4 linked regions of the Rhinolophus ferrumequinum genome follow. The protein of the gene in region 2 interacts with the protein of the main gene of each other region in a biochemical or structural test. Links are inferred from orthologs where the notes say so. Each region holds a gene or a part of one and is shown on either strand. Other genes may lie near its edges.

Region 1 (7,661 bases), on a different chromosome or scaffold from region 2:
TTAGAATCTATTTGGCGTGTCTTGGGCTGCTGGAGGTCAGGCTAGTAAAGACCATAATCTCCCCAAGCAAAGAGAGGTACGGAGTTTTATAGGAGGGGTAAACGAGGCTGTTCTTCCTTCAATGCTTCAGGGGGTTTTCGTTGACAAAGGGTTTCAGGGCGTGAGGAAGCCCTCCAGCTGCACACCCTGGCCCCAGGTTGCCATCGGACCCCGAGGCCCGCTGCTCACAGGCCCCCAGGAGATAAAGCAAGACGGGATCAAGACAAGACGGCTTCTAAGATAAGGTTTCTGCTCCTGGTCTAAATATGGCTTAATGTATAGAGCATATAAAATGTATTATATATGTTGGATTGAGGTTTGCAAAACGAGTAGGGACAGGACTATGGCCGCACATGTGTGAGACTGATCAAAGTGAAAGTAAACATGTTTATGTTTAGAGTATATACATGAAAGTAAACACGTTTATGTTTTTGTGTGAAACTGAGTATAACAAAATTGATAAACACCTTCACCTAAGAGGTAAACAACTCCTGGCAAACCACTTCTGGTTATCACCTACGAAGTAAACAAGTGCAAGGAAGAGGATTAAAGCAGAACTCCAGAGCAATGCCGTGAGAAGTCTGACTGGGCGCTCCGGCTAAGACCCTCTACAAGGTCCAAGCCGCGATACTCCGGGACTCTCCGAAGTTCTTCCTCGCAAGACCAGCTCGCCTCAGACCCGTCGTGGCCCAATCACCTCTCCCAGACCAGGAAACTTCACCTCGATTGACTCTGGGACTTGGTTCGTTATTAAATTCTATTCTGTATAACCTTCTGTGCTTACCAGAGCACTGCCTCTGGAGGGACACTGGCTCCCAAATAAAGCTATTACTTTATCTGAATCTGTGTGCCAGGACTTTCTTCCCCACTCGTGTCACGAGTGCCACACAGGGATGTAGGGCCCTGCGAAAGGGTTAATGTCCCCTTGACTTTCAGAAATAGACTGAAGTGTGGAGACTGCCTCACAGGTGCTAGCCACACTTAACAAGACTTAACCTGAGAACCTGAATTCTTAACCCCCATGCCAGCACTACTGGACTGTGGACCAAAAAAAGGGTTCTATGGAAAGTAATCTCACAGGATGATCTCATCATAAATTCCTCAGATCATGGTGGGAAGTCACGCCCCAGGCATGTAACTTTTTAGTAAAAAGTTTACCTTTGCCTTAAGCCAGCCCTGTCCATTGTTTTTGTGGAACTAGGTTAACACACCTTTGAAATAAGCTATAGCCACCCTCAAGAAAGCACATAATCTGTTAACTATCCTGTAATCCAAACCCGGCCTTGCTTTCTTCCAACTCCATGTTATCTTCCTTATATTCCCTTCTTAATTTCAAATGCATAAAAGAAGCGACAAAACTGTTGTTCTCCAGATCATTTGAGATCTTGCCCCCTGGCATATGTCATCAGTTTGGCTCAAGTAAACTCTTATAAATAAAAGTCTCTACAGACTTGGATGTTCTTAAGTTGACAGTGCCTACCTCCTAAGGTCTTTGTGAGACTTAAATACTGCAAATAAAGTGTTTAATTCAGGGACTGGAATATATTAAGTGACAAATAAAAGTTAGCTATCATCATTAGCTCATAACACGAAAACAGAAATTCCTAACCACTTTCTCTTAATTATGCAATTCCTTCTCAGGTCAATCTTCAACCTTTTTTGGATCCCCTACTTTTTTCTCCCTGTAAACATACAGAGTTGCCCTCCAAATGAACCACAGGGCAGTCACTGTCATGACCTAGGGGACGCTGAAATGGGTTCAGAACAGGCTTCCTCAAGCTGCTGTGCCATGTGAATTATTTTGAGTTGAAGGCAATGGAGACCCTATGGGCTCACAAGAAACTTCTGCCCCTTCCTTCCCATACATATGTTAATTAAATTTGGTTATTTTCTCTTGTTAATCTGTCTCAGGTAGATTTAACTATTAGACCAGCTGAAAGAACCTAGAAAGGTAGAGGAAAATTTCTTCCTCCCCACAAGGCTCTGCCAGAATATATAGCACCTAAAGGAGGCAAAGAGAAAGAGAGAAGACAGGAGCCCCAGAACCTCTTGAGAGGGTGGTGATGAAACCTGCCTGGAATGAAATCCTGAAAGACAAGCCAAAGCTCGAGTGTTCAGTAAATGTTTTTCATGTAAGTAGTTTGCTGATGAGTGGGGAGTCAGAAGAAGGAACTAATGAGGGTGTCAGACAAAGGAAAGGGGGCAGCTCTAGACCTGAATATTGGGGATCCTTTCTTTCCAGCTGAGTCATGTATTTGTTTGGAGGCTTATACTGTATTTGCGTTTCCGGGCTTACTTGTTGAAATGGATGTAGAAGCGAACCCAAGAGGGAAATGAGCACTTTGCTGACAGGCAGTGAGCTCAGTCCCCAGTGTTAGGGTTTTGGGATCAGAGGGAGTATGGAGCTGACCTAGGTGCAAGGACTGGGCAGGGACACAAGTGCTGAGTGTGACGCCCTCAGAGGCAGAGCCCTGGCATCTACTACCACTCCCCTCAGAACTACATGTTTGAAGTGGTGAATCTACTCAGCTTGTTCAGGTGAAACACTAAAAAAATTTTTGTTCCTCTAGTGACTGAATTTACAAAACGGAGTGGACGATTTTCACCTTAAATCGTGTAGAAATAATTTTTAAAAAAAACTCATGTAGAAATAAACAGTATTACAAGAAGTGGGGAAAGTTTTGACCAAAAATTCTACCTCAACAACCATAACTTACTCAGCTTTCCTATATGAAAAAGTTGAGAGAAATAAAGGTGGGAGGAAGAAATGGAAAAGGACCAAGGAGACCTTTAAGATCAAAACAATTTCAGGCTGAAAGAGAACAATCACTGAGATTCAACCTCTTTTCAAAGTTTTGCCATAGGGACAAATTACAAGGGTAAATTCTTTGGGTAAGATGCACATTTACCAAGGTGAATGTTTATAGTCACTGCCATTTGAACTTTTGATCCTCAAGTCATTTGAAACTTACCCAACACTATATGTACGACCTCTTGTATTTGCCTTGTACTGTAAACTTGAAATACTGAACTTTAAAAATACTGTCTTATTCTCCCCAACTAAGACTGTAAACTCTTTGAAATGGCTGTATCATGTCCCTGCCCCCCATTCTTCACCAAAAGGGTCACAAGGAACTCAATTAATCTACTGAATCTTTAACTCCTCCAAGTTTTTTGGAATGCCCTTGGGCAATGCATTCTGAAAATAGACACTCAACATCATGTTTTTAGTAAAAATCTAATGACCAAGAGCCCAGCCAGTGTAAACACATTCTTTCCACATCTTCACTTTAATGACAAAAGATTGCTTAGATTTAGAGAAGAAAAGGGGTGGACTTCTTTTACAGTTTGTTTAGGTATTAAAAAGAAGCAGCTGAGAGTTCTTTGGATTTTATGAGGTATCAGGGTGCAAAGCCCTGGGTGACCTAGCTTTCGGTTATTGGTGCAAAGCTGAACACCATACTCAGAGTAATATGGGCTAGCTCCCCCCTCACCCCGCCCTCCATGGGCACTTGAAGCTGAGAGTTGTCTTGTACATTAAGGTCCGTCCTGCCAGGCCATAAACCAAATGCAAACTCAGGGCTTCTCACCCGGACAGGCCCACAATGAAAGCAGAGGAGCTGCATGGAAAGGAGCCACATGCAGAGGAGCAACCCCCAGGAAGCGTCCGAGACTCCTTCCCCAGAGAACCCCTTACAAAGACAACCCCAAGTAGCAGAAGCTCATTTGAACGTGGGCAGAGCTGTAAGCCGAGGAGACGGGCACATATGGCTGGGAGCATGAGGAACAAGGGAACGAGGGCACAAACCCCGTTCCACCCCGCGGCCAGGATGTTGTGTGCCATTGAGTATGTGAGCGTCTCAAATCTGCTCAGGAACTGGCGGCCGCACAGCCTGGCCTGGCACTGCCTCCAGGTGGAAGAGAAGCAGGTGGCTTTATTTTCTGAATGCGAGTGAGGGAGCCGAGCCCGGGCTTAAAGAAGGCAGTGTTCCGCGGCGGGAACACCTCATCATGAGGCTCGGGCAGAGCGCGAAACTCGCAATGAGGCTTCCCGGCCAGAGCCGCCGACTGCACTGGAAGCCCGCAGTGGGAACAGCCTCGCTGGCCTAGGAGCAGCGCCACGGGAAGCCGTGGAGCGGGCCCCGCCGCGTCCCCCAGCCAGCTCCGGCGGCCCCAAGCGCCAGCCACTCCGCCGCGCAGCCAGCACAACATTCCATTTGAAAGTAACACCCACGTGCGCTGGTAAACAAGCGCGCGCGGTTGGCGGTGCCGCGCGTCCTGGGCGAGCCTGTGCGGCGCGCTCCCGCCCTCCTCCCGCACGTGTCTGCCAGCTCCGCCCGCGCCGCTACAGCGCTGCCCAGGCTCCTCCCCCTCGGGGGGCGCGCACCGCCCCCGAGCCTCGAGCTCCGCCACTGCTGGGCCCTAGAGCGCCCCGCATTACCAGGCGCGCCCCGCAGAGTGCTCTCCAACTTTCCTCCCTCGACGCCACCTCATCTCGGCGGGACCCATCGCCCTAGGTTGGCTCCCTCTCTCTCACCACCCCTGCCTTCTCACGTCCTCCTCCTATTAACTCTCCCTCCTTAAGCGCGCGAAGGATTGGTTTCTGGTTTTTCCCCTCCTCCCTCTCGTCCTTACAATTTTACTCGATTGTTTATTATTTGCAGGGGGGCGGGGGCGGAGAGGGGCGTCTGGGGCCTGGAGACTAGTGGCCGCGGCCAGTCAGCTCTCGGCGTGTCTTTACGTGTGAGCAGCGCAGCGAATGGCGACGCGGCGCAGAGCTCCCGGGTCACGCGCGTGTGGATACAATGACATCATCTGTTTGTACGCGTCGAACTAGCTTGGTGCAGGGGCGGGGCCGCGCGTCACTGGAGTGACGGGCCCTGCGCAAAGCCCGGAGCCTGGAGCCGGCCGGGTGGGCGGACTTCTGCGTACGCTGGGTTGTACCTTTTTGTGTATCCGAGTGTTGCCGAGCCCGCTCTAGACTCTAAGGTATCTCCAGTGACTTGGAAGGATTTCAGGAAAAAAAGAAAGATATTGATAAAAGTGGAGTTTTGGTGTGCGTGTTGCATGTAGTGTGCATTCTTAGTACACAAATGATTTAGCATCTGATCATTGGATACAGACTTCTAAAGATGTTTTTCTAAACCTAAAGGAGTTTTTCTTAAGAATGCACAAATAGACGTTTGCCGTCATTTACAAATTAGAATCAAATTATTTCCCATTCACAGCTGTTCAAAATCTGCTCTTGCGTTTAGGAATGTGAATAATTTGCTTTTTCCGGTGTTACATTTCTCCCCTAGTTTGCCATGAAAAGTGAAACACGACTGCGGTCGAGCGTCCTGGGTAAGAGACTCAGTGCAAACCTCTTAGTGCCTGATCAAATCTGAGGGCATCAGCTTATCGAAGTCCTGAAGGCACCAACATCTTCGCTTGTCTGCATTTCCACGCCGAGGTAACCCTTGCCATCTGCGGTCAGCATCTTATCTCGCGTGTTACCTGGTGTCCGGTTCTAATGGGGAACCCGACACCAGGGCGGGTCCAGAGCCTGGCGGACGGACACGCTTGCCGGGGACCCCGGGAGCCAGGCTACTTAGAGAGGCCATGCGACTGCGCTCGTGGAGCGTGTGAGGCTCTGCGCTCCCCCCTCCCTCTTCTCCGGGGCCCTCACCGCGCTTTGTTGTCGTTGAGACTCTAGGGAGAGAGGAACCCGGCGGGGACAGTTGAGGGAGCCCGCCGAGTCCGGGGCTGCAGCGCGCGCCCTGACACCCACACCCGCAGCCCCGCGGAGCCGAGTCGCGCAGGCGCGCGCGCGAGCGCACGCACACACACCCCGACACCAGCACACCCGGGCCCGGCGCCCAGCCCTCCCTCTGGGCGGGGATCCGCCCGCCCGCCCGCCCGCCGTCAGCTTAGGTTGAGGCACCCTGCGTGTGTCTATAACTTTGTGCTTCTGCAGCGGCCGCCCTGCTCGTGGAAGGGAGGAGGAGGAATGTGGAAGGCGGCGGCGCGCAGGCTGACAGGCGGTTCCTCTGGCGGGCTGCGGCGGCAGCCGGAGCGCCTCTCCTTCGCGGAGGTTGCACGCCCCCTCCTCGCCGTGCCCCGGGCCCGCGCGGGATTGTGCGTCCTCCCCCCTCGTCCCTGAAGGGAAGGAACCGAGGTAGGCGCCGGAGCTGTGCAGCGGGGCGGCCGCCTTCCCGGTGACTCCGGATCTGCTTCCGAGCTGGGCCAGGCGCTTCCCTTTTCCTTCCCCGTGACTCAGTGTGCGCGCCCCCTTCTCTCCCGCTAGTGTTTTTAAAGGACTTGAGTGAAGGGGGGAAAACTGTCAAGATGGCAGCAGCGGGAGCAAGGAGGTGATGAACGTGCTGGTCCGGGTTTTCTGGCGGCTCGGGAGACTTGGCGCTTCCCGACCTGTTGGAAGATTTATGTTCCGACTTGCCCCCACCCTCCGGTTCTTTCCTGGGAAGGGGGTGGAGGGCACAACGTCCGTGAGAAAATAAACCGCACAAAACCCCAAACTGGCCGTTCCTGCTCGGCTCGACCCTTTGCGAACATCCGCCAGCTGCTTGCCCCGCTTCTTCCCGTCTTTTCTTTTTTCTGGAAGTGACAAGGGCCCGTCTGCGCTCGTACCCACGTTCGCCCTCCCGGCCCGCGGGCGAAGAGGGGAGAAGGGAGCTGCCCGCGCCGTCCCCGGGTTCGGACCCTCCGTTGGGAGGGGGGATGGCAAGGGTGCGTGGAGGCGGCAGGGCCGCGGACGGGGAGAAGAGCTGAAGACGCCACAGACTTTGGCGGCGCCGCGGCGGGAAGCACTTGAGCGGGCCCGAGCGAAACATAAACAAACGCACGCTCGCCCCGCTTCTGGCCCGGACCGCGGCTCCGCTGCGCCAGCTCTGGCCGCAACCCGCTTTAAAGGCGCGGCCCGCGCCCCTCCCCCGCCCCTCCCCCTTCGTCCCCGCCCAGCCACCTAGCCCAGGAGAGACCTGCAGATCTGGCGGCAGCAGCGGCTGCGTCGGCGGGGGGAGGGGGCTGCCCCGTGCGAGCCCGTCGATTCGCCCGTCTCTACCCGGCGGCCTGGCCAGGGGGCGGCGTCTGCTGCGCCAGGTTCGCGGGACGCACGTCTCCAGGTCTGCCTGCTCCTGGGAGGCGGGCGCGGTGCGGTCGGGAAGCGGCGGCGGCGGCGGCGGCGGGTGAGCACTAGCCGAGCGCTGGGCTCTACCCCGGGGTAACCAACTCCTTTTTTCTCTCCGTTCGTGCCTCCCAGGCGGCGGCAGTAGCGGCAGCGGCGCCCGGCACCCCGAGCCTTCGCGGCGTCCCCGTCCCTCCCCCGCCGCACCCCGCCCGGGCGGAGAGGAGAGCGCCAGAGCCCGAGCCGCGGGCGGGCGGCGAAGATGGCAGAGGCGCGGGCCTCCCCGGCCCCGCTCTCTCCACTCGAAGTGGAGCTGGACCCGGAGTTCGAACCCCAGAGCCGGCCGCGCTCCTGTACGTGGCCCCTGCAGAGGCCCGAGCTCCAGGGGAGCCCGGCCAAGCCCTCGGGGGAGGCGGCCGCTGACTCCATGATCCCCGAGGAGGAGGACGATGAAGACGACGAGGACGGCGGCGGTAGGGCCAGCTCGGCCATGGCGATC
Region 2 (7,128 bases):
TCAGCTTCACAACCCCCTTAATTAGATGCTAGAATTATCACACCGCATGGGTGGGGCACTTTAGGTAAGGTGACTGCAGGCAGCAAGTCGCTGAACCAAGGTTCGAATTCTGCAGTCCCCAGAATTGCCAGGGTACTGACCAGCAGCCCCTAAATGGAAGGTGAGCAGGGGAGGAGGAGCCCCAGCCAGGAGCGGGGGTGGAAAGGAGGCCTTAAGTAGGGGTTGGGGAGGTGCTGGAGGAGGGGCTGGGTCACAAAGGATGGGACCCCAGTCGGCCAGGTATCCGTGGGCAGAGGGAACAGGGAGCCCTCCAGCCATTTTCCTTGATGCCCCAGAGGAGGGCGAGCCCTCCGTGAGAACAGAGTCCTGTTCAGCGCTGTGGGCGGGTAGGATGGGGTGGGGGGCTGAGGAGCCCCCAGAGGCCCTGGGGCCACTGCAGTTAGATCTGCTGTCTGTGGGAAGGAGAGGCACATTCTTCCACTAAAAAATTATTCCTTGTTTGTCTGATATTCAAATTTGACTGGACATCCTGCATTTTTATTTCCTAAATCCAGCAACTGCCGCTCGGAACCCTGGACTCTCACTGTACTTGGCCACTGAGACTGCCCTGGCTCCCAAGGCCCATCCATCTGGGGACCCTTGAGGAGGGCCACGCCCCTGCCTCCAGGCCCTCCCCCTGCAGAGGGAACTGAATTCAAATGAGGTCCCTGGGAGCCCAGAGGGTATTGCCCCCCCCTCCATCTGGCGGCTTCAGAGCCCCGCCCTGCCCCCTCCCAACCTTGATAACGACGCTTGATCTCCTTGAACCTTAATATCCTCATCTGCAAAATGAGAAGAATGACTGCAGGGCCTGGCACAGGGAGACCCCAGGCCATTCACTGGCCACTCAGGCCCCTCCCCAGAGAGCCCTCCTCCGGCCGTCCCCATTGCTGTCTGTTCCAGCGGGGCACCCCCAGTGGTCCATCATCACCACCCAGCTAAGCCCCCCCAAGGCCTCGTTTCTCTCTCACAGCCTTCTCCTGCTTCACAGCCCTGCCCGTGTGATGTGACCATACTGTGACACGGGTCCCGCCACCAGTGGGGTTTCAGTAAGTGTCTGAAGGGAGTGCATGGCTCCTGTGAGGACACCCACAAGAGTGCCACTGCTGCCCTGAGTGCCACAGCAGTCGATTCCGACTGCTGCCCGTTGCCCAGCTGTGCCCCCAGGCTTGGCCCCTGAGCCCGCGAAGGCAGGGCTCTGGGTGGCGTGAGGCCCTGGGGTGGGCAGCGTGCCCTGCTTGCCCTGCCTGGCTGGTGGGACAAAGCACTCCTTGGACACCTGACACAAGTTGTGGGGCACAGACAGGGACCAAAGCAGGCGAGGACACTGCGGGCGAGAGCCTGGGGCTGGGCCTGGGAGGCCAGCAAGTTAAGGATGGGCCAGGGAGGAGAAACATCCCTGGGGCAGGGGACCGTGGGAGAGAGGCCCTCTGTGCCTCTCCAGTTACAAGGTCTGAGTTAAGCCCTCCTGCCCTGCCGCACCCCGAGAAGGGACTGTCCTAGGCAGCCCCAAAATGGCACTCTGGAGCTGGCCACCACATGGCCCTTGGGTCCCCTATCTGGCCCAGCAAGGTCTCAGGCACAGGGATGACAGGAGGTGTCGCAGTGGTGCAGGCAGAGCCTCCCTGGATGCAGTCAGCCAGGCGGCCATCTGGCTTGGGAGCTGCCTTGAGGCCCCGCCCTGCAGCTGCTGCCCAGACTAGGCAGCCGGGGGCACTGGCCCAGGAGTCCTGCCCGATGGCCGGCAGCTGCAGAAGGTGACAGGGCTGGAGGCCCCTGTACTCAGGGAGGGATCAGGCAGCTGCCCTCCCTGGGGCCGGTGCAGCAGTTTTTGTTGGAAACATCTGGCCAAGGGGCTCCCCAGCGGTTCCAGCAGTGGCCAGGGCTGGCCAACAGGGCTCGTGCTCTCCTTGCCATTCTGTTTGGGGGGTGGGAGAGGAGTGTTCTTGGGGAGAGGAGCTCCCTCCAGGAGCTTTCCCTCCTGGAGTCCAGTGGAGGAGGGGGCTGGTCCTGCCCACAGGGATACGCCAGTCACAGGGCAGGCTCACACAGAGGCCAAGACAGGACTGGGTGCTGCACAGACAGGGTGGGTGCAGGGCTCGCAGAGGGTCCCGGGTACCCACTGTGCGCCAGAGCTCCGGACGGAGCATGTGGAGAGGCCCCTGGAGACGGGGGCTTTGGACCACCTCAGCGCAGCCTCCTGTTCAAGATGCGGATCAGCAGGCCGGAGAGGAGCCTGGGGAGTCGCCACGTCTTCCATGAGAAGGCACCTTCCTGGTCCCCCAGTCGCCACTCGCTGACACCTCACCATTCTCCTCCCATCTTCTGCCTTCTCCAAAGCATTGCTGAATCCAGGATGGGGTGTGGGTATGGAAACCCCACCTGGGAGAGCAGTATGTCGGTGGGACAGTCCCAGAGGAGGCCCCAGGCACCCATGGGAGGATTTGTGGGGTGAGCGATGGAGAGATGTCAGACATCTGGGGGTACCCTTAGGTCAGGGATCTGGCCCAAGCAGCACAGACGGGCTGGGTCTGTCACTTGGCCCCTGGAGGCAGGGCCCTGCCTGGGGGTACACAGTAAAAACTGAGACAACTGTGCTGGGGTGGGGACACAAGGGCCAAAGGGAGATGTATGGAACTGGGGCCCCTTTCTAAGGAGCGGGTGTCCCCTGAGCAGGGGAGAGAGTCCTTCCCTGAGAAGCATCCTTCTCTCAGTCAGCCTGAGAGGCTGGGACAGAGCCCCAGTTTCCGCTGTAGACGCTGTCCTGGGGGTTCAGCCGGGCTGCACCTGCTTCTGACCCAGATAAAGTGTCTATACACTCAGGCTGAACTCTGACCCTGGATGAAGAACAAAAATGTCCCCCCCCCCAAAAAAAAAGCAAAAACAAACATACCACCCCAGGAAGATAGCTCACAGTGGTCTTCATTTCACAGAAGGATTACTATCAACTTGGAGGCCTCAGGGCTGGGGGGAGGGGCAACTGTAGGAACCTGAGGCTCCCGTGGAGGGCCAGGGCCAGGGAGGGCTCCAGGGTGGAGCACAGTCTGCAGTGTCCTGGGAATCTGTAGGAGGAGGGTGCTAGACTCCCTCTGCCTCTGGTCCCTTAGCTGCCCCCCAGTGGACTGTGGGTGCCCAGGGCCCACTGAGACAACAGGGAGGGGCTTGGGCGGCCTCTGCTGTCAAGACCCTTCTCTTGAGCCTGCACCCAAACCTGCTCCCGCTTTGGGTATGTGCTCCCAGCTCAGAGAGGGCAGTCCAGGCCAGGTGGATGCCCCTCCACTGGTTCCTGTGCCCTCTTTTCCCTCTGTCACCGTGGGAAGAAGTCCCCATCCACTTTGTAGCCGCCACGTGTCAGCATCTTCCTTCTGGGGGAGGGGAAGTTTCTGGAAGCCCCCTGCCAAGGAGGGAGGGCTCAGAACCCCTGTCTCTCCAGGGCCTGGCTTGCCCTCATCAGTCCCCACGTCCCCGATGGCCCAGCCTTCCAGGCCCACCTCCAACCTGCCCTCCCCAGCCTCCTGAACCGGTGGGGCAGGGACCTCTGATTGGGTCTTTCAGGACAATCTTGGCGCCTCTCTCCCTGGACCCAGTAGGGTGCTACCCACTTGGGTCACAGCACATTCTGATATCAAACTAACCTACATCCCATCCCACCCCCATCCCATGGAGACAGAAGCCCTCATTCGTCCCCGTCGCCGCACAGAGAGGCCGAGAAGTGCGGTTCACCGGACAAACCGGGAAACTGAGGCCAGAGAGGGCGTGCCCGGGGACTGGCAGAGCAGTGGGCGCTGGGCGGGCGGGCCCAGCCCCGGCCCCCGCCCTCTGAGCCCGGGTGGGGGCGCAGGGCCGCGGAGGCGGATGTGGGCGGGCGGCCGGGCGGGGCGCGCGGGGCGGGGACGGGGCGGGCCGGCGGCGGCGGCGGGACGGAGCGGCGGCGGCCGGCCCAGCGCGCGCGCAGCAGGCACCGGAGGACGCGATACGCGGCCGCGCACGAGCACCGGGCCCGCGGCGCGAGGCCCGCCGGACAGCGCCCGCCGCCGGCCCGCGCCGCCCCAGCCCGCCCCCGGCCCGGCCCGCGGGGATGCGGAGCGGCGGGCGCCGGAGGCCGCGGCCCGGCTAGGCCCGCGCTCGCCCGGACGCGGCGCCCGGTGAGTCCCGCCCGCCGCCGCCGGGGCCCGGATTTCCTCCCCGCTCCGCCGCTTTGTTCCCGGCCGGCCGGGCCGGGGCGCGGGCGGCGCGGCCGGAATGGAGGCGCGGGAGCAGGAAGTGGCCGAGCGCGGCCTGGGCGGGGAGGGCGCGGGCTACGGGTGCGGGCCGCCGGTCCCGGCCTCCCTCATGACCTTGGAGAAGTGGCCCGCCGGCCGGCGAGGCCCAGGCTGGGGCGGAGGGGCGCGGCCGGGCCCGGACGGGGGCATCTCTGCGTCGGGGGCTCCCCGGGCGCTCCCTGGGCGCCTGGCCAGCGCTGCCCGGAGCACAGGAGGCTAAGGGGCCTTAGGAGAAGGCTCGCCCCAGCCCTCCTTCCAGTTTGTGGGTGGGCTCTTGGAAGGAGACCTCATCTTCCCATAGACAAAAAGTTGTCCCTGGTGGCGAGGGGCCCAGGCCAGTCCACAAAGGACTCCTATCCCTCGTGGGCCCTGAAACTGCTTCCTGACCTGAGTGGGCTGTGGAGGTGCTGCCCACCCATCCTAGAGGCTGGGGTCTGGAGGGCAGCTAGGGCTTGGTCCCCAGATTGGAGGGTGGGGGCAGATGGTGAGCTCAGTGGGTGGGACTGGTTTCAGAGTACTGCCCTGGTGGACAGAGTGGGGGCATGGGCCTGTGATCTCCGGCCACAGGGCCTCCTCCTTCACTCCTGGGCCCCTGGCCTGCCTCCAGGCCACCCCTGACTGCTCTGAGCCCCTGGTGGGAGTGAAGGCCCTGCAGCTTGGTTCCCTGCCCCCCCCCACCCAGCTGAAACATACAGTTTACAAACCAATGTTGGGAGGCAGAAGGAGGGTTTCCTTTCGGAGCACAGACTACTTTTTAAGAAGTTGTGGCTTTGGTAATGACAACAGTCGCGTAGTGTCTGGTGAAGGCACTCAGTACCGGGCAGCAGGACACAGGTCCCCTTGGTCCTGCCAGTCCTGTGCAGAGAGGCAGCCCGGGTGTTGGGCTGTGTGTGTGTGTGTGTGTGTGTGTGTGTGTGTACAGATGTATTTTTACACATGGGCTGTCGACAGCTGTCTGACTCTATCAGCAGCAGGCCCTTCTCAGGCCTGGGTGGGGGTAGGGTAGGGGGACATCCAGAGGCCTCGGAGTCCAGCCCTCTGTCTCCAGGCCACGCCCACTCCGTGTCACCAGAGCCCCCGGTGCCCACTGTGCTGGGGCTCAGAGCCCAATCCTGACACCCTCATATCTTCCCGCTGCTGCCCATGGGCCTGCTGAGCACTTCGGCACTTGCTTTCTTAGGCAAAGTGTGTCATCCCTGTCCTGGCATCACACACAGGCAGTGAGTGGGGTCTAACCACCCTCCTAAATTTAGCCTCAGACCATCAATGCACAGCAACCTTCTCTGGGTGCCCAGCCCCTGCCTCAAGAGGCCGGTGAGGTGATCTGTGGGAGACCATCTTCGTGGCTGTGGGAAGACCCATATTGGGATCCATTCCAGTGGTTCTCAGGGCTCCCTGCCTGGCCCGGGTGTCCCAGACTGGAGTCTCTTAGGGCCTGCCCTCCGATTGCCCATCTGGAGGGTAGCAGAATACTGGGATGCCCAGAACGGGTGATGTGAGCACTGGGTTTTGAGGGATGTGTAGGAGTTTATCCAGCAGGGGAGCCATGGGGAGGGTCATGCAAGATGAATGGCCAAAGTGTCTACTTAAGAGAGGGCCACTGGTGGGCCATTGCGGGCGGGTGCCAGGACCGCTGTGTGTGTACAGCGCCCCCCATTGTTTGCCTCTTGGATGCTCTAATTACAGACCTGTAACCACCCTGGACTGGGTACTCCTTATAGACGGGCCCGTCTGAACCCCTTTGTCACCAGTGCCCAGTGCTGAGCCTGGCAAACCAGAGGTGACTGATCTACACTGGCCAAATGAATGAACCAGATTCAGGCCCGCAGGGGCACCGTGGTTTAGGAGGGGCCGGGGGAGGGGTTCAGGTCACCCTGGCGGGCTCTGCCCATTTACGCCAGCCGCCCTTACTTCTGGTGCTGCCTTCTTCCTGTTTGAATGTCTCTCCCAGTCTGGGGCAGGGAGGAGGAGCCTATGGGTGGGAAGACTGGATGGAGAACAGGGCGCCCTCACCAGGAGCCTGGGGAGGTTGAGTGGTGTGCCCTGAAGCAGTCGGGCTGCCTGCAGGGGGTTGCCTGCCGGGCTGGCTGGTTAGGGAGGCTGGGGTACACTGGGAGGGCCTTTTGGGGATGGAGTGATTTGTACAAAAGCCAGGGGGAGTGGGAATGGGCTAGGTGAGAGGGACAGGGAGCTCTGAGGGCCTTTTATTAGGTGCCGTGGTGGGAAGAAAGTGAGGGGTGGCAGTGACTCAGGGCTGAGGGGAGCAGGCCACACGGGAAGGTGCACCCGGGCTGAGGCCCCAGGTGGGACGACCCTCCTGGGCTCATCACCAGGTCGGAGGAGTGGCCCCTAAGCTAGACACAGCCTCACACTTCCCTTTGCTTCTTCCAGAGGCTGTGGGTGCTGGCTGGGCTCCGGGAGACCCTACTGCGAGAGGAGCGTGAGTGACGCCTGGGCCGCCTCGGCCCGCAGCAGCGCACAGCATGACCGACGTGGCCATCGTGAAAGAGGGCTGGCTGCACAAAAGAGGTCAGTGCCCCTGGGGGCGGGGCCTGGAGCCGGGGCGGCCTGAGCTGGCCCACAGGCTTCCTTCAGGTGGCAGGTGCTTTGGTGGCCTGCTGGATGGGAGGGGCCTCCCTTGGGCTCCCAGACCTGCCCAGGTGAGCCTCCAGGGCCCAGTGTCTCCCACGGTGTGCAGGGCATGGCCTTGTGTGTCCCCTGGGTGGGGACATGAGGCCCGAGGCCTGTAGCCTGTCTGGCTGGCGGTGGAGTGACCGCCTGGCTGGGCCTGGTTGGCAGGGAGAGCTGCTGCTGCCTCCCTCCCCAC
Region 3 (7,494 bases), on a different chromosome or scaffold from region 2:
CCCTGAGTCACACCTGTTGGGTTCATCTCTGAGCCAGTGGCCTTGCCCGGTACATGGCAGGCCTCAGAGTGGGGCTGAGCGAAAAATGGTGTGCAAGCTGCTGTCTGCACCTGGACTCCACCCTGGAAGCTTTTGTCCTTCCTACAAGACTGTTCCGGCATTGCCTCTGGAAGTCTTCCCTGATGCCCCAGGATGGCGATGCCTTCCTTAGACCCACAATGCCCTGGGCTACCTCCATTTGAGCTCATGTCACTTGAGCTTCTAGCAGTTGTATCTCTGCTTCCTCTATCCGACTGTGAGCAAACCAAGGTCAGGGATCTGTGTCCCCAGGACAGGTCTATAAGCAGACAATCTGCTGGACACATCTCCTTACGAGGTGAGAAGAGCAAAGAGCACATGGGCTAGCTTCCTGCCCTGTCTCAAACCTTCTGTGTGACCTGGGCCACTCACTGGCCCTCTCTGAGCCTTTCTTCCCCCTATAAACCAGAGTGGTTGAGCCAGGGCTGCTGGGCAGTTGAGAAGCCTCCTGGAGGAAGAAGCAAGCACACCATCACTGGAGGGATTCAAACGAGGCTGTGATCCAGCTCACCGGGGTCATAGTAATTTGATTTCTATTCACAGGCCTTTTGTGACTCACAGTCATAGAAGCCAGTGCTTGCTGAGCACCTATTCTGTGCAGGGACTCTGCATCTCTCATCTCACCTCCTACCTGACCCACCAAGGTGGGAGCTGTCACCTCACAAATAAGACAACCAGAGTACAAGCCCTTGCCGCAAGCCACACGCAGTGACAACACAAACAGCACCTTTCCTGACAGACCCCATGGCAAGTTCATCCCCCACCTCCCACATGCCCGGCAGGGACTTAAGTGTGTCAACATTCTCATCACCAGCCCTGTGAGGGAGGAGCTGTTACCGCCCCATTTCACAGTTGTAACTGAGACCCAGCGAGAGTCAAGATCTTGACCAGGGTCAGACAGCTGGAGAGGAAAGCGGGAGACCTGGATCTGGCAGCCTGTTCTGAATTCCAAACGTCTTCCTACCTACCTTGTGAGGAAAGATTTATGATCACCTAGTCCAGATGGGGAAAGTGAGGCTCAAAGAGCTTAAGGCAGTGGCCCAAAGGTACACAGCTAGAAAGGGCAGAAGTGAGGCCGAAATTGCTGCCAGCCGGACTCCAAAACCAAACAGAACTGGGAGGTGCTCAAGGTCTCACAGCTCTTTGGGTCATCCCCATCTGATGAAGGAGGAAACTGAAGCTCAGGGCAAGGCAATGACTGGTCCAAGGTCGCACAGCCTGACAGTAGTAGGCCTGGGACTCTCACTTCTTTGGGACACCAGGATTAAACTCCTCTCTATCCTAGATCTTAGAGTGGCCAGAGAGTTGCAAAGAGTGAAGTGAGACTGAGTGGGAGTAAGGGTCCCCCCATCTCAGAGAGCATGGGCAAAGAGAAGGAGGGCAACTCACACAGACCTCTCTGCCAAAGCCTGGGGGCTCTCTGGAGTCAGTTACCCAAGAGGAGAGTAACCAAGATCTGGGGAGTCTCCCTTCTCTTCAGCTTCTATTGGAAGCCCTGTGTCCTCCAACGACCTGAGAAATGGAGGACCCCCTCCCCCAAATGGAGGAGTTTAAGATGAAGAAGAGAGGGAAACAATGGTGAAACCTGTCCCCCACAGGAGGGGTAAGGAGAGGTGAGTGGCCTCTTAGATGATGAAGTGAGGAAACTGACTCCAGGAAGAGGTGAGGAAAGGAAAAGTCCCCCAAGGAATGACGGATGTTAGTGAAGCCCCCTTCCAAACACCTGTCAAACTGAAAGTGCCCCGGCTCCAAGGTGGGGTGAACTGGAGGATGCACCCCGCAGCCGGGGGTGAACATCTGAGGTCTCTCCACCTCTCAGAGACCTACCCCACCTCTCCCGGGGACCAGCAAAGACCCTCTTCTCTAGAAAGAAAACAGGAAATCCTGCCCAGGTGGGGAGCATAACCGGAAGTCCCGCCTTTAGACGGTTGAGGGGCGCCCCAAGGTCCCCCAAGCAACCCTCCGACCCTATGGACACGGTCCAGTCAAAGTAAGGATCCTAATGGGTCTAGAGACAGGAAGGTAAGGCTGTCTAGGTTTTGCCTCGGGTCAGACACAACGGTTCCCGCCAGGGATCCCTTTCCAGCGCTCAGCGTACGGTCGCTGGGCGATCTCTTCCCTTTCATCTACGCAGGCCATACCCCTCTCGCTAGCGGTTCGCCCTCCCAGCGCCCCTCTCCTCCGGACCGCCAAGTCCTCCCCACACCGTGGTTCACAACGCCGCCTCCACTCACGTGCCCGTAGCCAGCATGGCCGAACCGGCGCCGTCGCCGCCCTCAAGAGACATGGCGGCGAATTGCGTCACTTCCCTGTGGTTGGCCCGCCTCCACTCTGCACACTCCGCCTCCCTTATCGGGCCGCCCGATACAAAGATGGCGGCTACAGGAGCTTCACCGGATCAGTGAGCCAACGGTGACAGCAGGGTGACGATAAGAAGGATGGGGAAATGCTTCAGTTTGTTCGGAAACAAACCGAGATCATTTCGATTTGACCCCAAGAAATATGGTCGCCTTGCACATACACATTCAGGACCACAGTAAACTAAGGCAAGCCACTTGACGTCCCTCATTTATAATCAACCTCTTCCACATAAGAAAAGCAGTGCCCGTTGATGACATGGCAGCCAGCCTGGCATCATTTGCCCTTAAGGTATATGGACTCTCCAGCCTATCCCCTTTCAGCACCAAGACTGGCAAAGATCCAACATGGCAGCCTTTCTTGCTTCGGTTTGCCCAATTTCAATATGGTGTCTCAGACCGCTTTCTTTCGACAGTGACTCATGAATTCGTCTGGGACCGCTTCGTTCCCGGGGATACTGACGGCTTCATCCCGTTAACCCGAGTTCTTCAGCGCCTCTTTTGCTGTACAGCTCCTCTCAACGTTGTTTTCCTTTCTCCGTTTCTCTTTTCCAGGACCCTGCCATCGCGCTCCGCAGAGCGATGGAACTGCCCCCCGTTGACATGGCCGCAGCTGACCCGCTTTAGTCGTGCCCTCAAGCAAAAGGGCATCTATTGGGCTTCGATGCCAGTATACAATATGGAGAAAGTAGTAGGCGTTTCGAAGCGTTTGGGTGAGGGGGTGGAGCTATTGGACCCGCCTCCTTGTTTACTTCGTGGAAAGGATGGTATCACTGCGCTTGCGCACCCTCGCTGGTCTCCACCTTTAGAGTCTGCGCCATATGACTTAAACCCTCGTGGTTCAACTTGGGCCACCCCATTCTGAAAGATGGTTACACCCACTCCTGTTCTAGAACAGGCAAAGGCACTACCACTGTCCGGGCTTGAGGGGAGTCTCCTATCCGGATATGACAGCATGTTGACCCGGAAAAGGAGGGACCCGAGACAGTGGGGCTTGGGCCGCGGCTATGGAGGGAGCCGGTTACAGGGTGAGTACTAAGTACGCACTTTCGCTTCTGTCTATATGGAACGCCCCCCCACAGTGGTCTGCTTTTCCCTCAGGTCGTGCCAGATCTCTCGGAGCCAGGCCGATCCTTAGCAAACACACCATTCCCTGGTGACGCGCTGTCACCCTTGCTTCCACTGCCCTAAGGAAGACCCATATCTTTTGGCCCCGCCCCCTGAGCTGCTGAGATATTCTTATGGACCCCGCCCCTTTTATAACACAATTCCCTACTCCTTCTCCCCTCTTTCCTTCCATCGCCCAGTATCCGGACGCCTGTCTGGTATGCAGGCTTCACTACTCGTAGTCCCATGCCCTTAGAAAATGGTTCCCCCAGGCCTTGCCCCATGGGGAATAGCTCCTCCCTGGGTCTACTCCCATTGGCTCCCTCCTGGGCCCCGCCCCTTAGGTGTCTTTCTGCTCTTGGGTCCCGCCCCTCACTGGTTCCTGTCCCCAGGTTGTGTTTGAGAAGGGAGGCGTGTACCTGCACACCAGTGCCAAGAAGCACCAGGACCCGGACTCCCTCATCGCTGGCGTCATCCGTGTTGTGGAGAAGGTGGGCTGGGATGGAACAGAGCGGGATGGAGGTGGCATCTGTAGGAGTATGGTCTGGTTGTGAGCTATGGGACCTTAGGATGATTGCGGGACTGGAGAGAGAAACGGAGCTTTGTCAGGCTGAGGGTCCAAAATGGGGAAGCAGTTTGGCAATATGGTTTGGGGAGTTAAGACGAGAGTCCTTTTAACACCGCCTTCCTTCCCTCAGGACAATGATGTCCTCCTGCACTGGGCTCCCGTAGAAGAGGCTGGAGATTCCACCCAAATCCTCTTCTCCAAGAAGGTAGGCTTCTCTTGCTCTGCCTTTCTCCACTTGCTTTTTTTCTAGGTCCAGGCAATGGAAGGCATTTGAAAAAGCTGGGTACAATCGCAGAACTACTCCTTGGGGCAGGTGTGACCCTTGCTGGTTTCCTCTAGTCTGTGAAATGGGGCTGAAGATACCCATTCACAGAAAGAAAGCAGACACCGTGAGGTTCATGGCCATGGGGACAGCTGCCCCTTTGTTTCTTGAGAGAGCCTTGCCAGGACACAGGAGGACAACTCAGCCTGTGGATTTGGGTTCCATGGGCTGTCAGCCCATAAGAACTTGAAGAGGTGTGGCATTTCCTCTGGGGCAGTCCTGCCATCATGTCCAGAAAGGGAACAGGACCTGACGAGGCAACTCACCGTTTTGCCAGTACTCGTTCCTCCCCTGGTACGGGATGTCACCCTTCTCATGATCAGTTGGCTCCTGAGGCTTCTTGTCATTGCCAGGCCCTGTGCTAGACAGTGCTGGCACCCAGATATGAGTCCAACCCAGATCTTGCCTAAGCCCTCACCCCCATTCTATTTTTGAGAAACTGAGGCATAATGAGAGGAATCCCCTTTTCCAAGGTCAGAAAAGGTAGGAGGTGTTGGAACTTCGGTTTGAACCCAGACACTCTGATTCTAGAGCTCCGCCTCTTCCTGGGGACGTAGATATTTGGGCTGGGACTCTAAAGATGAGAAGGGGGTAGGAGGGTAATTCAGGGATGTAGGAGGAAGTGTATTGCAGGGCACAGGGGGAAGGAAGTGGGATATCTCTGTAGAGGGGTTTGCTGAAAAGGTGATCCTGAAATGCCAGGCCCAGAAGCTTGGACCCTATCCTAGAGACCCCGGGGAACTATGGGAGGAGAAAGGTGTGGGTGCAGGAGGCCCTCTGGAAGGGTGGCATGTACCATGTTTCCCCGAAAATAAGATCTAGCCAGACAATCAGCTCTAATGTGTCTTTTGGAGCAAAAATTAATATAAGATCTGGTCTCATTTTACTATAATATAAGACAAGGTCTTATATAAGACCAGGTCTTACATGTATTAATTTTTGCTTCAAAAGATGCGTTAGAGCTGATTGTCCATCTAGGTCTTATTTTCTGGGAAACACGGTAGGAGATGGACCAAAGGACCAAATAGAGGGAGATTGGAGGCTGGAAGGTCATGGGGAAGGCTGATGTGATTGGCCAGGGAGAGAGGATGAAGCTTCAGCAGGGGCTGTGGGGTTTCAGATGACCTAGTCATGTACAAATGGAGACTCCAGAACACCCTCTCCCCGGCCCCAGGAGCTGGGGCAGAAGCAACCAGGATTTTGCATTTTTCACCAACCCGGGAGGCAGTCTGAGTGCCTTTCTTGAGAATATTGCTGTCCTCCTTGGCACTCGTATTTTCGAACAGAAATCCACGGAGATGGGCTTCAGAATGCACATATGCATTCACGATACATTCAGCTCCAAGGAACACAAAACTGGACCAATGACACGTTAGGCAAACAAGGTAGACCTCTCATCTCACAAGAACCCAAGGGGTAATGGGGCAGCTGGCCTTGACTGGTGACGTCAGAGCCTAGACCACTGAAGTTCTACTGTGATTGCCCTAATAGACTTTATTTATTTTTTTAACTTTTATTTATTTTAAGTGTGTTTTTCCAGGACCCATCAGCTCCAGGTCAAGTAGTTTTTTCAGTCTAGTTGTGGAGGGCACAGCTCACAGTGGCCCATGTGGGGATCAAACTGGCAACCTTGTTGTTAAGAGCACCGCGCTCTAACCAACTGAGCTAACCGGCTGCCCCCCTAGTAGTCTTTAAATGACTGCTTCAGGGTGCCAATCACATCTGTCCTCATCAGGAAAAACAAGAGATTGCCCAGAAATCCGCATCGGTTAGGAGTTGCATTTGGCTTTGTATAACAGAAATAGCAATAACCGTGGCCTATGCAAGATAGGAGACCATTTCCTTCCTATGGAAAAGCCCAGAAATCAGTAGTACAGGTTCATATATCATCAATGATCCAGTTTCCTTCCCTCTTTGCTCTGCCATCCTCTGCATGTCATATCCATCCTCAACACGTGTTCATCCTCAAGGCTGTCTCGTGGTCCAAAAAGGCTGCTGGAGCTCCAGCCTTTTGGACTGTTTTTATGCACTCTACTTACGTGTTGCAGGTTGGCTCATTAGCTCTGTTCATCATGATTACTCGAAGAAATATGCTGCTATAGCAGCTACCATCTTAAAAGTCACCATTCCTTGGGCAGAGGGAAAGAGAGCTCTAGAAGACTTCCCCTGGCAATTAAACAATCCATCCTGGAAGTGATACATCCCAGCCCCTTGGCCAGAACTAGTTGCACAGCTCCACCCAGCCAGTTCAATGAGCTGTGAGCCTGCTATGTGCCTGAGAGGCAAAGATCTGCAAATATTTGTCAGATAGTACTAATGTTAACATCAGTGAAACCTTCGAGTTCTTCCTGTCACGATATACGGAAAGCGGAAATGGCTTTGCCAGGACTGGCTTGGCAGCCTTGTGGACAAGTGAGCCTGCTAGTCCTTGGCCCTCCCCTCATGGCCCTAGTTTATTGCCACAAGCTCCAAATATGTTTTCCCTCGACAGCACCCAAAGGGTAGCCTGAACCTGCAGGTGCCTTTTTGTCAGGAATTGTCCTTCCTCAAACATCCCACACGTGTCCTCTCAGCTACCACTGGCCAGAGTTGGGTCCATAGGCTACTCACAACTACAGGGAAGGCTTGGAAAGCAAAGTATAATACGGAGAGTTCAGCTTCTCTGGTGGGGAGGGCTCTGGAAGCACAGCAGAAATGGCTGGGGGTCTTTCCAGCTTCATTGCCCTAATCATGCAGGGTTTGTTGCAGGAGTCACAAAACACTTGGTAACTTTAAGCAGCAAGGAATTAAATGCAAAGAAGTGGAGACTTACAGGATTTTATTAGCAGAGCTGGAGGGACAGGACTGATGCTCCAGAACTGAGCTTCCAGGGGCGGGAGCTGCCACCACTGCCAATGAGGCTGTGGCGAATGGGACTGTCATTGAAGCTGTTGAGTTCTCAGCCCCCACAAAGCTAATGCCTGGGACCTGGAAGACTGAGCTGTCCCCATCGCTGTTCCTCTCCATGTGCAGGAAGATGGAGATGGAGATGAATCTCCTCCTGGCTCATCAGCCAAACACTG
Region 4 (8,213 bases), on a different chromosome or scaffold from region 2:
CCTTGGGCTCTGGGCAAGGGACGAGGGGTGGCGCCGTGCCCAGGTTGCAACAGCAGGCCAGTGGGTGACTGCTGTCTGCTGACAGGTAGCCTGAGGATAGCACCCCTCTCAGCCAGACCCCCTGTGTAGCTCGGAGCCTCCTTGAGAGGTGCTGTGTGGCTCTGTGCTTTGATCTCACTGGGCCTGTTTCCTCCTCTGTAGATCAGAGGAGCGGACAGGAACTCCTTCCCCTTGGGGACAGTAGAACTGCCCTTCTGCCAGGAGCGCCCCCTCTACCAGGGATCTCAGAGCCTCTGACCAGACCTCGGGAGACAAGGGGAGACCCTGCAGATGTGGGCATTCCCCCAGTGAGAATCTGGGCAGACCCTGTAAGTGGAGATGGGGTGCTCCCCCTTCAGCCAGAAGATTGTATTTGAAGGAACTGTGGGCTAAACACAGTGGGAAAACTGCCAGACTTCAGACTCTCTCAGCTCCCGATTCCAGAATCCAAGGCCGAAGCTCGCTCAGTACGGCCGCCCCCCAGCTGATGACTCCCCCCTCCCATGTGCAGCCCCCACCCTGGCACCTGCCTCCTCGTAGCACCTCCTACTCTATGGGGCTGGACCCGGCTTCGGTTCTTTCCTGCAAACCTGTCTCTCCTCAGTCGTCCCCTTCTTGGTAAATACTCCCCTTCCCCCTCACAGTCGCTTCAGGGCAGGACCCCCTCCCCCCCCAACAGCAACTACCATTGGGATCAAAACTGATTCTGGACCAAAGAACTTTCCACCCTCCCCCTGCCAGCATCTACCTCGGGGTGATGGCACCAGCCTCCCCACCCGCCTCCTGCTCCCACTCGTTTCCCCCCAGTGGCCAGGGCAGTCATTTTGAACTTTATGCTGAGGTATAAGACACACACAGAAAACTGCACAGACCATTAGTGTAGACACATTTCCATGAGCTGAACACACCCGCGTGACAGACGGAGACACAGACCCGGGTGATCTGTCACCGGACACCTACCCCCTGCTTGAAGCCATCTGTGGCCCCTTCCCACTGAGCCCACTCTAGCCTCTGTCTGTTCCTGAACTCTCCAGGCTGTTGCTGCCTTTGCCCGTGCTGTTCCCTGTCTGTCTCAGATCCACCACCACCATCTCCCTGGGAGCCTCCCCGAATATTCAGAATAAAGATGCTGCTGTGCTCAACTCCTCTCTCGTGTTGCCTTTTATTTCTATAAAATGTCACTGCCTGAAATGACCTCCTCCACCCACTGTGTCCTGTTTAATCACCTCTCTCCCATCCTACTTGAACGTCAGCTCCAAGAAGCCATCGACTGTGTCCACCTTGCTCATGCAGCATTCTCTCACTGCCAGGCACACAGTAAGCACTCAAGAAACTCCGTGGCACCAGCAAACGCCCCAGAGCAGCTTGTACTGGAAGATTCTGTGTGCAGCAGCAACAGGCCACAGTGTGGGATGCTCGCACCCTCCATGGGAAGTGGGGGACCGGGGTGCCCTCGGTTCTCACTCACCCAGTTCTCCATCTTCCTGGCCCTGCGCTCCAGCCCCTTCTGGAGGCGCTCTCCTACGCCCCCCGCAGTCTGAAACTCTTCCACCAGCTGCTTGGTGTGGGCCCATTCCTCCTCACTGATGATGGGCTGCAGTGTCTTAAGGTAATGATCCAGAGACTGCTGGAGTGGGGGCACGGGCAGCCGGGGCAGGGAGTCCTGGTGCGTCTTGAAGCGGCCAGAAACTTTCCTCAAGGAGGATGGCTTGAGGAAGCCCAGGGGCTTCACCTGCAGGCAGCAGAACATTCTGCTCATTCTCTCGCCAGCTCTGGGAGGCCCTGCCAGTCCCACGCTGCAGCCCTGGGCACTTATGTGCCCATCCCAGGATCAGAGATGGTCTCTTGGGTGGTGCCCGCCCTGGCTTCCCAGCCCTCAAGCTATAGGTGTCTCCACCTATCAGGAGCCTGGAGATGCAGGTAGGGGTGGGTGTGGGTGGGGTGTGGCCATTGATCTTGGCAGGGCTCAGGTGAACCAAGTCAGGATGAATGGCACCTGTTGGGGATGGCAGAGTGACAGGAACCTCTCACCTGTCTGAATGCTCAGGGTCCCGTCTTTCTCACCCTGGGGTGATGAGCCAGCCAGCAGTGAGGGCCCTCCCAGAGGTCCCCACCTCCTTTTCTCCCACCCTTGCCAGGTTGAGAAACAGGAGTGAAGCAGAGAAAATCAGGGAGAGCCAGATGACCACAGAACCTTTAGATGAGGATGAAGCCACAGATTTTTTTCCTGAATGTGGGGTGGGGACAGAAGTGGCATGGAGGCGGCGCTGCGGCAAGAGAGAGCTGAGTGGCCTGGCAAAGAGGGTGAAAGATGGCAGAGAGAGAGAGAGAGAGACTCTGGTAGACTCTGGAGGTGGGCAGAAAAAGAGACAAGAGGGTCCAAGGTTGCTGGCAGCGGTAGGCAGGCAAGCGGCAGAGGCTCCGTTCCATACCTTCTCTTTCTGCTGCCCGTCCTCCATGGCAGGACTGAGGTTCTGAGCCCTGTCTGTCTGCCTTGGGCTGGATCTCTAAGCCTAACTGTGCTACCAAGTGGGTGAGCAGAACCTAGCAAGAGGCAGCCACTTGCCTGGGCTGGAAAGAGAAGACAAGAGCCAAGATTCAGGGGGGAGGTAGAGGTGGCAGTGGTGATGGCTATAGTGACTGTGGTGGCATGTGGGGTTGTGGCTGTGGCAAGAACAGCTGCTCCACTTGCCCTAGCTTCCAGAAGCGGAGGAATGGGGAGTGGGTGAGAGGGCTGGTGGTGGGAACTGGATAGGAGCAAGCCTGGAAAACTTTCTCCTTCTTTTCTGGATGGGCCCAGAGCCAGGGAGGCAGGCCAAGAGGTATTAAAAAATCCACCTGTTAGAATGTGCGTAGGTCTGATGAAGGAAAACTTGGCTGGAGGGCAGAAACTGCCTGGCTGCTGAGTATACCACAAGCCTGGAATTAGTCCTGAAAATTGGGGTTGGTGCAAAGGAGCAGACACTGGAAAAACCCTAAGTGGACAGTGGCTCCTACGAGCCCTGCCCATCCCGTTTCCCTTCAAGATTCTTGGGAACCCTTCTAGGCCACCCTTCTGCCAAACCCTCATTCTCTCGAGCGGTGGCTCATTCAGTTGGGGGCCAAGAGTGGAGGACTTTGGGCATTAAAAATAAACCAAAGGACTCTTTGGGATTGGATTAAATTTAAGTCAGCACATCCAGGGGATTCTAGCCAAGCCTCTCCTTGCCTCAGTTTCCCCAGCAGGAAAGTGATCAGCCACCCAGCAGGTCCTGGAGGATGACCTAGAGGCTGTTTGCGGGATGGGGGCACAGCTCAGGTGGCAGCGTCAAGAGTGAGGTGGAGCCTTAGGATCCTGGAAGACCGGGAAGAGCCTCTCGTCCAGAGGCCAGCGGACGGGTACCCTCAGTTATCTGTGCCTGGTAGTGTCTGTTTGAACACTCTTCCTTGCACAGAGGGAGATACAAGCAGAGGTATGCTTGGAATAGAGAGGAAAGGAACTCAAATCAGGTTTGCAGCACCTCTTGCTCTAGGCTGCCCTCTGGGGAGTACTGAGCGTGGGGGGGTAGACGTGAACAGGTTAGGGGAAAAATTGGCAGAGAGGGAGGGCATGGGGCTGCCAACCTGCCACCTCCTGCCAGTTCTTAGGACTTTCTGAGCAGCTCAGCTTGATGTCTCCAAGTGAGTTTCTCTGGCTACCCACAATTACCCAGGGGCCATTTGATAAGCCCAAGCAGGCTGACCAACTGGATGGGGCTGGAGAAGTGGCTCTGGCCTTGGCAGAGACGGCGCAGGCTGAGTGTGGCAGAGAAGGGTGTGTGAGTCAGAGAATAATAGTGAGACACACTCCTGGTCAGCCGGCTCCTTGGCTCCCGGTCTAAGGGTGGGAGTGTTGCCTGAAGCCAGGGTGCTGTCTTTTCTGGGTCGTCAGAATTTAGCTCGACAGGACATGGGCTCCATCCGGCCTCTGACCTTGAGCCTCAGTCTCCTCCTCTGCCAAACGGGGAAGCCCACCTGCCACCCCACCCCAGCAGCTGCAGGCCAAGCTGGACAGCGGCCTCCCCGGCCCTGTCGCCTCAACAGCCTATGTGCCTGTTTCCCTATTCCGGCGCAGCTGCGTGGCTGGCCCGGCCCGCCCGCCTAGTCCAGGGCCCGCCAGGTCTGGCTCCGGCCTCACTTACCACTGTCCTGGCCGCGAAAGCCAACATCTCTGCGCCCCGCCAGTGGACACACAGTCCGCTCCGCCCCCGCGCTGGGCAAAGTCCGCGTTGCCACCTCCGTTGGTGGGTCCCCGCTAGAGTTTCCTAGCCAAGGTCGCCGAGTCACCGCCGCGGGCCAGTAGAGGTGGCCCAGCGCCCACCCACCGGGCCTGGCGGGTGGTGGGCTGGCGGCTAGCAGGCTGGAGGCTCAAGGAGGCCTCTCTGGGCGGGGCCAGGGCCAGTGGCGAGCCCCCGCGGCTAGCAGGGTGCGCAGGGCGGGGCCAGAGTGGCGGCGGGGGCGGGGCCAGAGTGGCGGCGGGGGCGGGGCCAGAGTGGCGGCGGGGGCGGGGCCAGAGTGGCGGCGGGGGCGGGGCCAGAGTGGCGGCGGGGGCGGGGCCACAGTGGCGGCGGGGGCGGGGGCGGGGCCACAGCACCGGGGCGGAACCGGGGGTGCAGTTAGCGGGTTGCGCTCGCAGCGAGGTGGTGGAACCGCGAAGAGGGAAAGACCGGGGCAGCGGTCCAGCTCGCTCTCCACCTCCAAATGCCGTCCAAGCTGTTGGAGGCAGTGGTGTGCACCTCTCTCAGTCCGTTTGGTGTCCTTGAGCGCTACTCTCATAGTGGTAGGAAAACACAACCGTTCGACAGGAGAATGTCTTCTAACATCCCTCAGGATAGGGTCAGAGCCACGCACAAAGATGACAGGTGGAGACCGCCCCGCAAAAGCATGGCTGCGCAACTTCGCTCGCCCGCCCCGCAAAAGCATGTCTGCCGCGTTCCCAGCGCTCGGCGGGCGGTTGGTTAGCCCGCCCTGGTGCGCATGCGCTGGGCGCCCCGCACCAACATGGCCGCCGCCTCCCAGTGAGCCCTGCAGCCGCGAGCCGGCCGTTGCTGGTCATACTCCCTGAGTGCCCCGCACGGACATGGCGGTCGTCTTCGCGGGGGTGACTTTAATTCTCGGTTTTCGGTTATAGCCGGCTGGTGCTCATTTCTCTTCAGAAAGCTCTGAGCACGGGGAAAAGGAAGGGTGGGTGCGGAGGTGAAAAGTGAGGTCCAGCTCCTGACGGAGGAAGATGGCTGAAGGCGAGCGGCAGTCGCCGCCAGGTAGGGCGCGTCGGGCCCGGCCGGGGTGGGGGGCGCGGGGGCGGCGGCAGGCGTGGGGGCGGGGAAGAGGTGTGGTGCGGGGGGTCTCCGCAAAGGAATGATCGCGAGATGGAGGAACTCGCCGGGCAAGAGCTGATGGGCCCGGAGGAGGAACTCGAGTTGAGGGGCGCTGCGGGAGCAGTGGTGAGGACGGCACCTTCCTGAGGGGAGGGCAAGAACTCGGGGCTGCGAAGGGGTGGTGGGTGGGGCGCAACACCCGACTTGGGGAGTCCCGGCTGCCCGTGGGTCGGGTGGGCAGCGCCTTGGCCAGAAGGGGAGGCCTTTTCCACGTCTGGGCTACGCGCTGAATTGAGCTCTTGATGTGGTGAGGACGACGCGAGGGATGCTGGGCTTAGGTGCTCTGTGGGCCTGGGCCTGCTCGGCCCCGTTCCCAGCCGCCTCCATGCCCTGCCCACCGCGCATCCCCCTCCCCTCTCTCTGGGAAGCGGCCTCCGGAGCTTCCAGTGGCGGAGAACTGACAGAGAAACTGGCCTCGGTCCGCTAAACCACTAATTTAAAAAGGCTGGTTGTGCAAGGAGATGAGCGTCTCTAGAGCATCGCCATCTGTAACTCGTATTTACACTGTGGCCGGCCGCTTCCTGGTGCATCTCCAGTACCTGGGATGGAGGTGCTAGGGAAAGGATCTTCGCTTAGAGAACTGTATAGGGGAAGGCTGTTTGTTGACATCCCCCCAACCCCCCCACCTTGAGCTGAGAAAACTTTAAAAATTCTGTTGGGAGCGAATAGGTTGGCCGAACGTAGGTAATGGTTTGAAAGCATTTGATAGTCCTTCTATTTTGTCTTGCATTCTGTGATCCCTGGGAAGGTCTCATAAACTCTGAAGATCAAAAGAGGGCCCCCCCCCAAAAAAAAATAGATGAACAAAGAGCTGACATTTGTTTGGTACAAAACTTCTGTGCGTGTTCTCTTAGAAGTCTTGGTATGACATCAGGAGATATACAAGGCAACCAGAGTTATCACTGAGATGAATGTTTTTGAACGTGGTGGTGGGGCATAGAGTGGGGGAGGGAAGCTGGGTGCTGGAAGAGACGAAGGCTCTGGAGGTTCGCTATGGCTGGGAAGATCCAGGTTCCTGGGACGTGGCCCTTCTTTGAAGTTGAAACAGGCTGTTTTGGGACAAGTGGAGAGAACTACTTAACTCAGACAGTGTAGTGGTGAAAACCTTGGATTTTGGAGTTACATAGACTGTCTGTAAGAGAGGCTCTTACAGACATAGAGAATCTGCCTGGCCAGTCGCAGCCTCTGTGAGCCTGTTTTCTGATCTCTTAAAATGGGGCGACTCTACCTTCTTCACAGAGCTGTAGTGTGTGTTCCATAGATGATGTGGACGAAGCATGGGACGTGGCGGGTAAGTTAGTCAGTGTGGATTACTGGGAACCTTTTCAAAAGTGGTACAGGTTGTACATGTGGACTGGCTCCCAAATGTATTACACGTTATACTTACTCTCTGGATTTTTTTTTTAGGAACATCTCTAAAACTGGAGGTTTCCATCTTATACCAAGAGGTTTTAGGGGAACCAATTGTCCATTGGTCCCTTTGTCAGAGGCAGAATCTGACACTGGAGAGACTGTGGGTGTGACTTCATATATCCCAGTCCTGAGTTTGAAGGCTTTTTTTTTTATTTAGCATTTTATGGTCTGGCGATTTATGAGTGTGTTTCATCAGTGATTTGTTGCAATGCTTCCTATAAGGTAGCCTTTCCCCTGGCAACAGAGCCTGGCCTGGAGGTTTTCCTCCTTGTGAAACAATGTCAGGAGGACTATCCCCTTGCAGGAAATAGTTCTTTCCAGCTTACTCACAAAAGGGCTCTGTTCCCAAAGATCATTTGCAAGTTGATTATTTGGAATGTGGAACACATTTTCCCATAAAAACAATGTGGTTAGGTTACCAGCCTGACCTACAAAACTTTTTATATAGCATCTTAAAATAGCAATTTACTAATAGTAGGGGGTTCTCAGTTTTGGGTCCTGGGAACAGGGCTTGCAGAACAGGTGGGAGGAGGAGGAAGAGAGCTTTTCTGCTCTCTTTCTTGGACCCTTTTTTGAATTTTGAATTAGGTAGAGGTTTGGTTTGCCTTGCTCTTATCTCAGATTCTCCATCCTACTCCTTAGGTCTCCAGGTCTCCTGGCACTTTTATTCCTCAACAATTGATACCTTAACTTTTCTTGCAGAGAAAGGAACGGCAGAAGGCCAGTGGGTTTGGTTTAACGAGCCAATACTCTGTCCTGGGAGTACATGTCTGTCTGGTTTACATTAGGGCTTGGGTATTGTAGTCTTGGTTTGAGAGAGAGAGAGAGAGAGAGAGAGAGAGAGAGAAAGAAAGAGTGTGTGTGTGTGTGTGTGTGTATTGGAGGGAGGATTTTATTTATCTCTTTCCTTTTTCATTTTCTTTGTCCAGATTCCTCGGAGGATATCCCTCCAGCCACGCAGAACTTCATCATTCCAAAAAAGGAGATCCATACGGTTCCAGACATGGGCAAATGGAAGCGTTCTCAGGTACTAGTAGTGTCTGCATTGTAGGGTCAGAACTGGGATGAGAAACTTGGGATTTTTCAAAGACAGTGTTTTGTAGACATGACTGGGGCTCTGAGCTCCTGATCTTTCTTGCTCTTGGAGCCAGAGCTGTTAGAGGCTAGGGAGAGAGGTGACAGGGGAGGTGACGGTCCCTCCCTGTCCAGGCCAGCACTCAGAGATGCTTCAGTGGGAAGGTCCCTGGGCGCCGGGGCCAGGTAACCCTGGAGAGTTCTACTCCTGGTTCTCGTACCCCATCGCCCCTGACTGTTGTTATATTGGCTGGACGTGAATGCCCTAAATGATGGAGTAGGTCACTTTGA

Evidence for each region.
Region 1: of the proteins of AKT1 (region 2) and FOXO3, one has a biochemical effect on the other in vitro, tested with the Homo sapiens proteins (2 studies listed by BioGRID and IntAct). The link is inferred for Rhinolophus ferrumequinum from reciprocal best matches to the Homo sapiens genes AKT1 and FOXO3.
Region 3: of the proteins of AKT1 (region 2) and AKT1S1, one has a biochemical effect on the other in vitro, tested with the Homo sapiens proteins (2 studies listed by BioGRID). The link is inferred for Rhinolophus ferrumequinum from reciprocal best matches to the Homo sapiens genes AKT1 and AKT1S1.
Region 4: of the proteins of AKT1 (region 2) and PTPA, one has a biochemical effect on the other in vitro, tested with the Homo sapiens proteins (2 studies listed by BioGRID). The link is inferred for Rhinolophus ferrumequinum from reciprocal best matches to the Homo sapiens genes AKT1 and PTPA.

The regions. Positions count from the first base shown.
Region 1 is NC_046286.1:61,324,008-61,331,668, forward strand, and holds the start of FOXO3 (forkhead box protein O3), read left to right. Parts: upstream 1-4,426; 5' UTR 4,427-4,556; intron 4,557-4,691; exon of another isoform or gene 4,692-5,028; intron 5,029-5,339; 5' UTR 5,340-5,491; intron 5,492-5,948; coding exon of another isoform or gene 5,949-6,495; exon of another isoform or gene 6,496-6,666; coding exon of another isoform or gene 6,667-6,869; exon of another isoform or gene 6,870-7,297; 5' UTR 7,298-7,424; coding exon 7,425-7,661. Other genes in the region: uncharacterized protein LOC117020678, read right to left, coding at 5,949-6,495, 6,667-6,869. UniProt on the Homo sapiens protein: Transcriptional activator that recognizes and binds to the DNA sequence 5'-[AG]TAAA[TC]A-3' and regulates different processes, such as apoptosis and autophagy.
Region 2 is NC_046289.1:824,291-831,418, forward strand, and holds the start of AKT1 (RAC-alpha serine/threonine-protein kinase), read left to right. Parts: upstream 1-4,106; 5' UTR 4,107-4,184; intron 4,185-6,692; 5' UTR 6,693-6,784; coding exon 6,785-6,830; intron 6,831-7,128. UniProt on the Homo sapiens protein: AKT1 is one of 3 closely related serine/threonine-protein kinases (AKT1, AKT2 and AKT3) called the AKT kinase, and which regulate many processes including metabolism, proliferation, cell survival, growth and angiogenesis.
Region 3 is NC_046298.1:44,904,593-44,912,086, forward strand, and holds the start of AKT1S1 (proline-rich AKT1 substrate 1), read right to left. Parts: upstream 3,041-7,494; 5' UTR 2,366-3,040; coding exon 2,313-2,365; exon of another isoform or gene 2,220-2,312; intron 1-2,219. Other genes in the region: TBC1D17 (TBC1 domain family member 17), read left to right, coding at 3,443-3,463, 3,935-4,033, 4,241-4,315. UniProt on the Homo sapiens protein: Negative regulator of the mechanistic target of rapamycin complex 1 (mTORC1), an evolutionarily conserved central nutrient sensor that stimulates anabolic reactions and macromolecule biosynthesis to promote cellular biomass generation and growth.
Region 4 is NC_046295.1:77,724,790-77,733,002, forward strand, and holds the start of PTPA (serine/threonine-protein phosphatase 2A activator), read left to right. Parts: upstream 1-5,027; 5' UTR 5,028-5,287; coding exon 5,288-5,318; intron 5,319-5,392; exon of another isoform or gene 5,393-5,501; intron 5,502-7,777; coding exon 7,778-7,875; intron 7,876-8,213. Other genes in the region: CRAT (carnitine O-acetyltransferase), read right to left, coding at 1,508-1,771, 4,200-4,226. UniProt on the Homo sapiens protein: PPIases accelerate the folding of proteins. It catalyzes the cis-trans isomerization of proline imidic peptide bonds in oligopeptides. Acts as a regulatory subunit for serine/threonine-protein phosphatase 2A (PP2A).